Linked DNA regions of Xenopus tropicalis. The protein of the gene in region 1 purifies or fractionates together with the protein of each later gene. This does not show direct contact. Links are inferred from orthologs where the notes say so. Each region holds a gene or a part of one and is shown on either strand. Other genes may lie near its edges. The genes, in order: nup133, nup37 and ahctf1.

What was found.
Region 2: the proteins of nup133 (region 1) and nup37 purify together in Homo sapiens (affinity purification with mass spectrometry; 4 studies listed by BioGRID and IntAct, with this or other methods). This does not show direct contact. The link is inferred for Xenopus tropicalis from reciprocal best matches to the Homo sapiens genes NUP133 and NUP37.
Region 3: the proteins of nup133 (region 1) and ahctf1 purify together in Homo sapiens (affinity purification with western blotting; 3 studies listed by BioGRID, with this or other methods). This does not show direct contact. The link is inferred for Xenopus tropicalis from reciprocal best matches to the Homo sapiens genes NUP133 and AHCTF1.

Annotation. Positions count from the first base shown.
Region 1 is NC_030679.2:125,105,826-125,110,010, forward strand, and holds the start of nup133 (nuclear pore complex protein Nup133), read left to right. Parts: upstream 1-1,385; 5' UTR 1,386-1,523; coding exon 1,524-4,185. UniProt on the Homo sapiens protein: Involved in poly(A)+ RNA transport. Involved in nephrogenesis.
Region 2 is NC_030679.2:49,128,985-49,133,388, forward strand, and holds the start of nup37 (nucleoporin Nup37), read right to left. Parts: upstream 2,815-4,404; 5' UTR 2,783-2,814; intron 2,760-2,782; exon of another isoform or gene 2,616-2,759; coding exon of another isoform or gene 2,594-2,615; intron 864-2,593; coding exon of another isoform or gene 832-863; coding exon 676-831; intron 28-675; coding exon 1-27. UniProt on the Homo sapiens protein: Component of the Nup107-160 subcomplex of the nuclear pore complex (NPC). The Nup107-160 subcomplex is required for the assembly of a functional NPC.
Region 3 is NC_030681.2:51,310,753-51,314,475, reverse strand, and holds part of ahctf1 (protein ELYS), read right to left. Parts: intron 3,480-3,723; coding exon 3,292-3,479; intron 1,222-3,291; coding exon 1,077-1,221; intron 987-1,076; coding exon 858-986; intron 775-857; coding exon 627-774; intron 536-626; coding exon 385-535; intron 1-384. UniProt on the Homo sapiens protein: Required for the assembly of a functional nuclear pore complex (NPC) on the surface of chromosomes as nuclei form at the end of mitosis. May initiate NPC assembly by binding to chromatin and recruiting the Nup107-160 subcomplex of the NPC.

The DNA.
Region 1 (4,185 bases):
ATCGCCGGGCCCCCTTTGAAAGTAAAAATTGCGGCCCTGCCTACGGCACACCAGGCAACATCTCGCGGCACACTAGTGTGCCACGGAACAGTGGTTGAAAAACGCTGATCTAGGGTGTGTTACTATATATTTTAATCTTTTCATTCTTCCTTTTCGCTTTACCAATTTTAAAAAATTATTTTAGCTGTGAACATAAATTAAAAGTTATATTTTAAGATTCTACAGGTGTGCCAAAAAAATTGTGTTCTTTTCATCTTTTGCTTTATATGTGACACACAATGGCCTTCCAGAGATTGTCTGTGTGGGCATGGAATTAAATATCGCACTATTATCAGCAGAGCTCGTGGTTTTCACTTACAGGTATCGGACCCCTTATCCGGAAACCCATTATCCAGAAAGTTCCGAATTACGGAAAGGCCATCTCCCATAGACTCCATTATAATCAAATAATTACCATTCTTAAAAATTATTCCCTTTTTCTCTGTAATAATAAAACAGTACCTTGTACTTGTTCCCAACTAATATATGATTAATCCTTATTGGAAGCAAAACAATCCTATTGGGTTTAATTACTGTTTAAATAATATTTTAGTAGACTTAAGGTAGGAAATCTGAATTACGGAAAACCCCAGGTCCCTACCATTCTGGATAATGGGCCCCATACCTGTAATAACAACTGCAACTCTGCACCTGGGCTACCAGGAATTAAGGATGCAAAATACACTATTTAATTTACATTTTCAGCCACTTACAGGAAAAAAATATCACACAAACTGCTCACTGCACAAAGTAATTGGATAACACTGAGACAGCAAGTACAATTTTTATTGTTACTGTAGGACGACCAAGCCAAAAGTAAATGTGCCAGTCAATGGTTATTACTGGTTGCTGCACTAAGAAACAATGGCAGACACTAATTCTTAGACTGAGGGGAAAAAACGACTTCCTTTTATCATTTTATAGATTGTAAGCTCTACGGGGCAGGGACCTCCTTCATCTTGTGTTTCTGACTCTTATTGCAACTGTACCTTGTATTTATTGTTATACTTTGTATTTATCCATTATCTTTAACCCCGTCTGTATTAATGAATTCTACTGCACAGCGCTGCGTACATAAGTAGCGCTTTATAAATAAAGATATACATACATACATACATACATGGGAAAGTTATAGGATCACCCCGTCTATTATCATCCACTGTACAATTTTTAGGGCTTTTGTTTCCTGTATTATTTGGTTCGGTTATTATTCTTCCATTGCTTAGCAAACTATTTGCATGAATCCCATTTTCTTCCTTGTAGGTCAAGAAAAATATAACTTGTTTAAAGAGCAAGTGGATTTGACGCAACCTGACTGACTGAACGATAACCCCTGGTTCCAACCAGTTGGCCAGTTGCAGCCTAACAGGCCGGGCCGTTGCTTATGACGTCACTAGCAGCGCGCCATTTCCTGCACTTCCTGAGACAACGCGGGTAGCGAGCGCTTTTCAAACTATCCCGACACAGCGGCTACCGGATCCAGCATGTTTCCGTCACCCCGTGCTCAGGGTGTGGGCTCAGCGCGGCGGCCGTTTAATGCCCGACTGACTGGCGGCAGGAAAGGCTTGGGTCCGGGAGTGAGCGCCAGTTCTTCCCCGTCGGCGCTGTACTCGCCTGTGGGTCGTAGAGTTTCCAGCAGTGGCGCCAGATCCACCCCGTCCCGCGTTTATCTCCACCCGGCCGCCTCTGAGACGGTGAATTACAATGTACAGCTGTTTGGTTCCTCCTTGCCAGTTAAAGTAATGGAGGCCCTGTCTAACTCCGGTGTAGACGAGCCCTTGGCTGCTCGCATCCATGAAGGCGGATGGGCATGGCTGGCGTGCAAGGATCGCCTGATCATTTGGAAGATAAGTCACTCCACCTCTGCTAAGTTAATGGTGTGCAAAGAACTGCCTCTTCCACTGAGTGACAGCGAATGGTCTGCTGATTTAGCGGATATTTGTGCCCACACGGGTGACTCTGCTGCTGGACAGGCAGTGGCATTAATGGCGGCCACTCCTGAAGGGTCAGCCCGCTACTGGCCTAACATTCTCCATGAGAGCAACTATATAGAGTCTTACGCTGACTTTGGCTCCTCTCTTTGTGCATTTGTTACAGCTGTAAAAGGCAACAGTTTCATCCTGTCTTCAGAAAAAAATCACCTTGTACGACTGACACCCGACGCGTCCGGAAAGATTAATCAACGTATTCTGCCGCAAGGTCAGGGCATGCTGTCCGGTATTGGCCGCAGGGTGTCCACGCTCTTTGGCATCTTGTCTCCTGCTGTTGAATCCACGCTCTGCAGTGTTCTCTGGGATAAGGGAGATTGCTTCTATACTCTCACAGACTCAAGTATAAACAAATGGGACTTGGATGATGCTTCGGAAAGTCACGTGCTTACCTGGGACATGACCAGAGTCCTAAGAGAAAACATATCTGATGCCATTTGGGGGTCTGAGAGCAACTATGATGATATAAAAAATGGAATTAACATTGATTATTTAAGTCTTAACCAGAACTGTGATGGTTTAGTCATCCTGGCTGCTGCCTGGCATCCTGGTGATAACCCCTGCCAGATATATTACACACTTGTAACCGTGAAAGACGAAGGTTATAATATTTCTGATGAAATTACAGTGGAAGTCACTCAGTTCAACCCTGTGTTTCAGTCTAGAGATATGCAGCTGTGCCAGCTTGTGATACCAAATTTTAGCAGCCAGGCCTGTTACTTGTATACCCAAGATATGGTCTTTGCATGTTCAACAGGAACTGGAAGGAGCACTTTGCCTCAAGAAAAGATTCCATTTGAAGCACAAGGAGATAATATTATAGGAGCTGGATCCTGTGAAGGTTGGCCAGTTTTTTTCATTAGAAAGAGTGGTATGCTGACCGTTGTTGCTAGAGAGACTGCTTCTGTGCTCCCAGAGCACATGGAAGAGTCACTGTTGTCCGTGTCTAAATCCAGCTCTCAGGCTGCAGTAAAGGACTCAACTTCAAGACCTGACCAGATTGCTCATGATGATAAGACCAAACTTCTGAAGGCCGCTTTTTTGAGATGTTGCAGGAAAGACATACTGGGGGCACAGAGCATGGTGGATAGCCTGTTCTCAGATTCAGACATGGGACCAGATGATGAACTGGATCAAGCAGTAAACCAAATAAGCGTCGATTTGATTGATGATTATCCTGCCTCTGATCCTCGTTGGGCTGAATCTGTCCCTGAAGAGGCAGCTGGATTTAGCAACACTTCTCTAATTCTCTTGCATCAGCTGGAAGATAAGATGAAAGCTCACTCCTTTTTTGTGGATTTCCTTCATCAAGTTGGACTTTTCAGTCGTTTGAGCACTTGTCAAGCAAAAGGAATGTTCGTAGCAACTCGACTGTTGCTGTGTGAGCATGCAGAGAAACTGTCTGCTGCAATTGTTTTAAAGAACCACCATGCTAAGCTCCCTGCCTTGGTTAACTCTGCCATACAACTTGCACTTGATAAAAGGATGTGCTCCATACCCCAGAATCTCACTGCCGCCGATGTCTACTTTAGAGAGGTATCCCAAATGGATATTATCTTTGAATGCCTGGTAGACAAAGAGGAAGCTGACTTGGAAAGTACTTCCATGGACTCAGTTGAATGGGCAAATATAGTTGTCAATATCAATACTATTCTGAAAGACATGCTACATGCTGCCTGTCAGTACAGACAAAGTAAAAATTCTCTCTATAAAAATGAAAGTGGAATGCAAGAGCCCGAGTATGTTCCCTGGACTGCTTCTAGTGGAATTGCAGGTATTAGGTCTGTTGTTACACGTCAGCATGGTGTAATATTGAAGATCTACCCACAAGCGGATAGCAGCCTTCGTACTATACTAATTGAGCAGCTTGCAGCCTTGCTAAACTACTTGCTTGATGATTATGTCATCCAACTAAAATCAGTTGATAAACGGACTAATCAAGAAAGATACAGTGTCCTGGAAATGGAGTATGCTCAGAAGCGGTCAGAACTTTTAGCTCCTTTGTTAAGCCTAGGACAGTATGCCTGGGCTTCAAATCTTGCTGAGAAGTACTGTGACTTTGATATCTTGGTGCAGATATGTGAAATGACTGATAATCAGAGCAGGCTGCAAAGGTACATGACTCTATTTTCAGATCAGAATTTTTCAGATTTTCTGT
Region 2 (4,404 bases), about 76 Mb from region 1:
TATTCCTTCTACAGCAGAATCTTCTTCCTAAAAATGAAATATCACGTATAGGCACAGGTATGAGTATATTAGTAGGCTGGATATTAGTGCAGTTCCATACAACAGTTATGATGCCCTTTGTGTTAAGAATTCAAGCAAAATATAGTGGTTCTTCTTCTTTAAAATTATATATGTTAAGTATAACTATAAGAAGTTGTAGTTTACAATGGAGCACTGGGTCCCAAAACACTTTTTTTCGCCTTTCCACCAGAAACAAAGGTTATAGTCCAGTGGAAAAGTCTACACATCTCTTCAGCTTTCCAAAATTGCCTACAGCTGGAAACTTTGCACGACTTTGGAGAACCAAAGAGATGCAAAAGCCTTTCCAACGGCGATTATACTTAAAAGACAGAATCAGGATCATTAGGCTTAATATTATCTGTTCTAAAAAGGCATACCCTGCCCCCCTAATGTGAAGTGGATTATCTACTAGGAAAATTGCTGTAGTCAATGCTGACTCCATAATAGTAATTTACATATATGTTTCACAACATTAAAAAGTTTTTCATTTATCAACCGATGTTTCCAAGTGATTCCATATGACTCTCACAATGGCCTGGAGTAAAAAAAATGTACACACCTACAATTTTACCCTAAATCAGCCACTAAATGAAAAAATAATTGGCATGTACATACCTGAAACCTGCAAGATGCAATAACGACATAACTAATTCCACCATAAGCTAGTAAAGAGCCTGCCTCCCCAGAGTCAAAGGGATTAAATTCTACTACATGCACATAATCTTCACAGTCCACTGTGTAGGTGGCATTACTTGTTGAATCTTGCTTCATAGTCTGCTTCTGTTTTCTTATTTCTAAAAGTGCTAAAAGGAAAAAGAAAATCTTCAAATTTTATGTATAGATCTATGCTATATTAAAAGGGTACAGTTTTTGCACCCTTATTAAGCCATTTTTTACAACACAGGTGTTACTGTGATGGCTGTAGTCACATGTGTTCTCAAGTGTGCACATGAGGTTAATTCCAGCTTGGGCATTCTCTGCAAGAAGAAGTAGTGTTTTCTCTCCTTTGTGCAGGGTTTCTTCTGTGTACTCTGGTTTGCTTCAACACACTAAAAACAGTCAGCGACAGCATGGCTCTTGCTAACCCTGACCCTGATAAGGACCTTAGACGGAGCAGAGCAGATGGAGACTCCCTTTTAATGAAAGAAAAAGTGCAAAAAAAAAAAGACCCTTTCCAGCTGTTAGGGCTCTGGCACACGGGGAGATTAGTCGCCCGCGACAAATCTCCCTTGTCACAGGCGACTAATCTCCCCGAACTACCATCCCACAGGCGAAAATGTAAGTCGCCGGTGGGATGGCACACGCTGCGCAGGCGATTTGCCGAAATTTGCCCACCAGCGACTTACTTAGTGTGCCAGAGCCCTTAAACTTGCTGATAGATCAGTTTGCACTTATCAGTTTCCAAAATTGCGTAGGCCCTTGGTCAGTGTATTTTTGAAATGCATAATACTTGGGGCAGTTCTATGTTGAGCATATGTATGTATGTTTATAAATTTTGTATTTATGAAGTGCTACATGAATACATGAAAATGCAGTAATGCAGCGCAGTACAATGTAAATTCTAAAAGACACAGCAGTAAGGAGGTCCATGCCCTCGTAGAGCTAGATATACACAAAAAAGTTTTATGGTCGCTTTAAAATACTACTGACACATTCCTAGAAAACATGTCACTATTACTGAAGAGTTGCAGCACCAACGTATTTATGGCCAAAAGTCCCCAAGGAATGCACCACCTCCAGCCCAGGAAGGAGACAGATAGAAGAATCCGTAAGGCTCTCTGTCACGCAAAGTTTCCACGGGCTAATTACAAATAAAAACTGCCTATGGAAGGATCAAGCCACACTTAGCCCAGCATGACTGACACAACTGCAAAGGAATCTGTAGCCATGTTGGAGTGTCACCTCAGGTAAATTATTGCTGCGCTGGGGCCAGTGTTAGTGGGCTTTTGGCAGAAGGTTTTTGGTTCTGCAACTCGTTAGTAATACGGACACATTCCAATGGATTTTTATGGAAACATTTCAGTATTGCTTTAAAGGGGTGGTTCCAAAAAGCTGAGGACACAGTTTTATGGTTACTTTTTCTTTCTATTCCGAGCCTCCTCTATTCATATTCCTGTGTCTTTCAAACTACTGCCTGGTTGCTAGGTTAAATTGGGCCCTAGCAACCAGACTGATGCTGAACTTGCTGGAGAGCTGCTTAAGAAAAAGCTATATAATTTAAAAACTACAATTAAAAATGAAGACCAACTGCAAACTGTCTCAGAGCACGATCTACATCATACTAGTAGTTAAAGCGAACAACCACTGTAACAAAGTTACTTAGACTGGGCAGGGACCTCCTTTTGTCTTTAATTTTGTGTAGTGTGTATTTATTTTATTTATAGTGCATACACCCGTTTGTTCAATTGATATATCGTTCTTCTACTATACGACAAACAAGAACCTACATATATACATCACGCATACTTCTACTACTACTACTACTACTACTACTACTACAAACAAGCACTCAAACTGTATACGATCAACTTACAGACGGCAAACGCCTGACACATTTACAGCGGGTGAAATCGCATTCTACCAAAGCCACCCGCCACCATTAATACACGCCGCGTTTTGGCAATATACGCAGACCATGTACCCTACAACCAAAACATTTCATATTCCGTAGTTATAACTATCTCAGCAACCGCAGAAACCCCGCTGTATCACCAATACACACCGACCCAGCCTGCCCTGCTCCCGCCAGTAGATTTGCAGTTCTCTTTCAAAGCGAGCGAATCCCCTTCCTACTACCTATCATATCCGGGGCTCTAGGTCGCGCACGCTGATTGGCTGAATCTAGGCAACTCTGTGGCGCTACGAAAATTTAAAAGTCCCACGAACGTACGAGGTTTTTGAAAGGAGAAACAGCTGCTGTTTTGTTTGATAGAGAGAATAGTAGCTGCGTCTTCTGGTGGTAACTTCGTTCTGTCTCAACCCCCACAAGTAAGTATGATGTACATACACTATCTACTTTTTGCTTCTATACTAAATTTTTTTTTTTTTTTTTTACACCTGTCTAATATTTTAATATTTCCTTCTCTCTTCATTAGACCCCATGGCTGCTTCTCTCTTAACCCCCCACACATATAGCATACCATTCACCCTCTATGTAATTAAGCCACATTTAAAAAAAAATATATGTTTTGCAGGCACAACATATTGCTGCGAAGCAGTAGGCAGACAGCTAAAGGTTAGTAGTCCTAACGGGAACAGCCCCATCCCTGGCCTGTTTTCTATTAAGTCTTTGCAATGTTTATACATATTCACTTGTGTAATTATTTTTTTTTAAGTAGTGGGGTGAGGGGAGTTGTGTTTGTGTTATGATTTTCTTTGCATAGAATATCTATCTATCTGTCTATCTATCATCTGTCATCTGTCCATAGGGTGCATACCTGGGTGGTAGTACCAAAAACATGCACTGGAACAAGGACAGCACTCCTAGGATTTAAAGAATTGTGAGCAAAATGTAAATGCAAAAATAGAAAGGTTTATTACCCATCTGGAGACCATTAAGGTTTCTGTGTAAGACTGAAACGTTGAGTGCTGTCCTTGTTCCAGTGTGTGTGTGTGTGTGTGTATATATATATATATATATTTCCCATACTTAGGGAGAGCCTTATTTACCTGAAGAAAATACCTATAGACAAGGAATGTACCAGAATGGATGTAGGCCATGATGGCTAAGCAGCAATGCATGGCTATCTCATATTATCTGGTTGATGGTCCTGTAGCCTGATTTGGCCAAAGACTTGGGTGACCACATCAGGTTAAGATATGCTACTGTTATGGAAATTCAGATACCGGATATCATTTGGGGTAGAAAAAGTTTATTTATCACAGATTCTGAGCAAGAGTCTAAGAATACTTAGACAAAGGATTGGGGGGTTTTTATATTGTCTTACAATTACACGTTATAGAAAAAGGCTCTGCAGAAGGGAGTTCTTGGGAACGAAAAGGGAGTTTTAGGGGGGTTGTGCTTGAAGCTGGACTCTAGGACAGTAAACAATAAAACAGTGTGCAGTAGCTGATAAGACTTGCTCTGGAGATGTGCTCAGGAATGCAATTTACTTTGAAACTGTCCTGACCATTGAAGGACCTAAATATACTGCTCAAATAGAATATGGGATCACCTGAAGGTTGCATCCTTTCAGATAAAAGCATTTCTGTTTAGATCATTAGCCTATAAACTTCTAATTTGAAGATGAGTTATGCTGATTCTAATTCTGTTACAGTGCTGATGTTCTATAGAGTATTACAGGTTTATGCTTTATTATTGTGGCGAGCCCAGACTGCTCCTTC
Region 3 (3,723 bases), on another chromosome or scaffold:
GTTACCCTAAGCAGTGCACAACCCTGAAAGAAAGCCAGGGTAATAGGAATACCCTGCTTTTTAATCTATTAAGTGTACCTGAGTCAACATTCTTACTATGATTAAATTATTCAAACCATACTGGAAGCTTGAATATGTGCAGGCAAAAAACTGCTTCTACTTGTCATGGTTCCCATATGTTCCATAAATGGATAGTGGTCAGTAAAGCTGATGTCAGCCAGTAAAAATCACAACATCAAGTCTTAGATGTTTATGAAAGAAGCTGCAACGGTGATGCATTGCCTGCAAATCCGTTCAATCAATCCTTTCATTTCATAGGGTAACGGGGCTATTTAAATCATATTCCATGCTGAAAAAGGAATGATGAAATTGCACTGGGCTTACCTTTTGTAAGGTGAAAATTCTTCCCTTTTTTCATTTGCAGTAGAAACTTCTTTAATTTTTGACAGAACATTGCAAATAAAGTTTGCTTTGGTTATTATACTTCCAGGAGCAGCCTGCTTTGCAGTAGTTGATAAAGGCTTTGGTCTAGCAACTAGAAGTAAAAAAGAGTGAGGTTAATTATATTTTGCCAAGAAAAAGTATTTTACTGAACTTTGATAATTAGGAGAAAGAAATATATATACCTTCTCTCCACACTAGCGATGGTAATGAGTAGGGTTTGGCTCTTTCGCTTGCAAGAGTTCGCTGGACTCTTGGCAGTATTTTTCCATACTGATCCAGAATAGCATTTCTTGCCACAGATCTCTCACGCAATCGCCGGTCACAATCATTCTGCTCCAAAGGAGGGGGGAGTGGTTACATTTTATAAATTGTATAAATTAAAAGATACCTAAATAAAGTGTACTTAGATTTACCAAGTGGTTTGTTTTCAATGACTGGTTTAGCTGCAAGGCTGGTATATAATTTGCTCGTTGTAGATGGTGCACCAATAGCAGCTCCTGATTTTGTACACCGGTAGTCTGCAAGAACTTGTGCAAATAGTCCTAAAATTGAAAAGTTTTAGAGAAAATAGTCTTTCAGATGTGCTACTTAGTGGCAGTCTGATACATTTAGTCAGTTTTCTATTCACTTACTTGCTCAAAATCTGTAAATGTTAGCTTTAGTAATTCTTCAATTAGCCCCATTTCTTGACATGTTTCATACATGTGTTTGAGCAATTCTTCTACATTCAGACGACTAGAATGCAGTCTCTGCAAGTTCCAGGCTTCCAAAATAGACCTGTAAGCATATCAAGTCAAGCTTTATTGTCATCACATTTGCGTACAGAGTATACAAATGAGACAATATCACAATATACCATCGAATAGAAGACAGAAATTATGCATAGCTTATCTGAAACTCCAATCCCCATCCCCCCTCGCGAGCAAAGCTTCCATTACATCCGACACTCTGCTGTTCAACTTCCTTCAGCCTTTGCATGTATACTGAAAAGGGCATGTTTGGTCTATCTTGAGAACCTCAGCTTCTACTGGCTCTACCCCACTCACAAATCTCTTGCTTCTCAAGCATTCTGATATTCACGATACTCCGTACCGAACAACATATTCTCTATATAAATAAAATAACCTACTCATAAAGGCTGCTTCAACTTACATGAACAAACACAAATATGTAGACAAACAAGGCTTCTTATGTCAATATGTTACCATGGAATTTTTTTGTTAAATGAGAATGCAAAATCCACAGAAAGGGACCAAAAGTATACTAGGAAGCCACTGCAACACTGCCTTAACTGAGGCAGGAAGTGAAGGAAAGCTAGAGTTCAGATATACGACGACAAGGCGCTTGTAAAGTTAGCTAAAAGAAAAAGCATTAAGCGACTGTAACAAGGACTCACTTACAAGGTGTCACTGCTAAGTACTGACACCTTGTAAGTTAGTTCTTGTTTTGGCTTTGGCCCAGGGCATTTAAACCCGTAATTTAAAGTCTAAGAACTAATTCCATGTAGTGTCTAAAAGTCTTTAGACTTTAAATTACGGGTTTAAATGCCCTGGGCCAAAGTCTAGCTGCTACAAGATGAAAAAAGACCTGATAATGGGATATACCGGTTGGTTTATGACACTCGGGCAGCCAGCAGGCTTACACAAAGCTCCAAACTGAGTAACACATAAATGAAAGCATACGATAACAAAGCAAGCAGAGAACCACTATAAATGGAACCATTAAAAAACACATTAGGCGAATAAGATTAAGGTATAGTGGGCTTTTAAAGGAGAAAGAAAGGTAAAAACTAAGTAAGCTTTATCAGAAAGGTCTATGTAAATACAGCCATAAGCACTCACTTCTCTGAAAAAAGATTTCTTGTACCTGTAATTCATGTGCCAGAGACACGCAGCTCTCTGCTTTCTCCCCTCTCCTGCTCCCCCCTCTCTCAAGAATGCTAAGAACTCACTCCCCACACTTGGGAATGTGGATCTGAGCCAATCAGCAGGAAGATGACTCAGTCTTACAAACTGAGCATGCACACTTGGTCTCGGTCTAGGAGTGAGGCATTATGGGAACTTTCTTTACACAGGTGAAATATGAGGAGATTTAAGGGCACTATTGAGACAACTGAAGGTATGCCTGCAGCTTGAGATTAACTCTTCATTAGCCTTTCCTTCTCCTTTAAAGATGTGGAATTTCAATTGCATTGCCTTAAAATAGCAATACCCAACCAGTGGCTCCTGAGAAAAATGTTGCTCAATAACCCTTTGGATGCTGCTCCCAGTGGCAACATAGCAAGTGCTTATTTTTTAATTCCCTGCTTGGAGGCAAGTTTTGGTTGCATAAAAACAAGGAGCCCCTATAGCCTGCCAATCTACATGCTATAAAAAAAACAATCATAGCACCTAGGAACTGTTGTTCTTTCTCCAAAAGCTGCCTTTCTCCAGGGTCAGAGGCCCTTTGGTACTCACTTTCTATTTCAAGCATTCTCTCCCTGTCAGATATTCCCTGTGTCTCAGTCTCCATGATCCTCAGGTTTCCATTCACACACTAGGAACAACCAGGACAATGCCTCTCCTTTAAAACACACAGGAAAGCCCTGTCTCCCCCAGACAACCAAAGAGCCCATAGGCTTAAGAGCACACCCCTTTTAATTCCACAGGCAGCTCCTCGCTCAGCAGCCACTCAATTGCCTGACTGAAAGGGATTATTAACCCTATCTGCCCTAAGTATCCCCTGGAGTTCATATCATGCACACTGTTGCTCTCCACATCTTTTTACAGTTTAAGGTGGCTCACAGGTTAAAAAAAAAAAAAAGTTTGGGGACCGCTGCCGTAAGGCATCACATTAACATTTTCTTACCTGTTTGCAAGCAGCACAGTCATATGTAGTTTAACCTCTCTGCTGGTGGCTGCTACAGGTTTCATCACTTGTATATACCTAAGAGCCTGTCTCTGATCTCCTTGGCACATCAAAGTTTCAATGATTTGTGAGTGCTGCCATGACATAACACGACTTGCTGCAGGATTAAGTATACAGTCTATTGAGTTCTAATAAAAAGTACAAAAAAAAAAAAAAAAAAAAAGTACCAGCATTAGTGCCAACAGGATTTACTAGTATTTCCCACAGAACACTAAAACAGATAGTATATATTTCTTAGATTAAGACATGCCAAAGGGAAATGGTACAGGTTCATCATACACAAACTCTACAAGTTACAACAGGATGACGATAATGAATGCAGAATTGGTTAAGGCAGGCAGAATATATTTACTGTGTAAGCAGGAAAGAGTG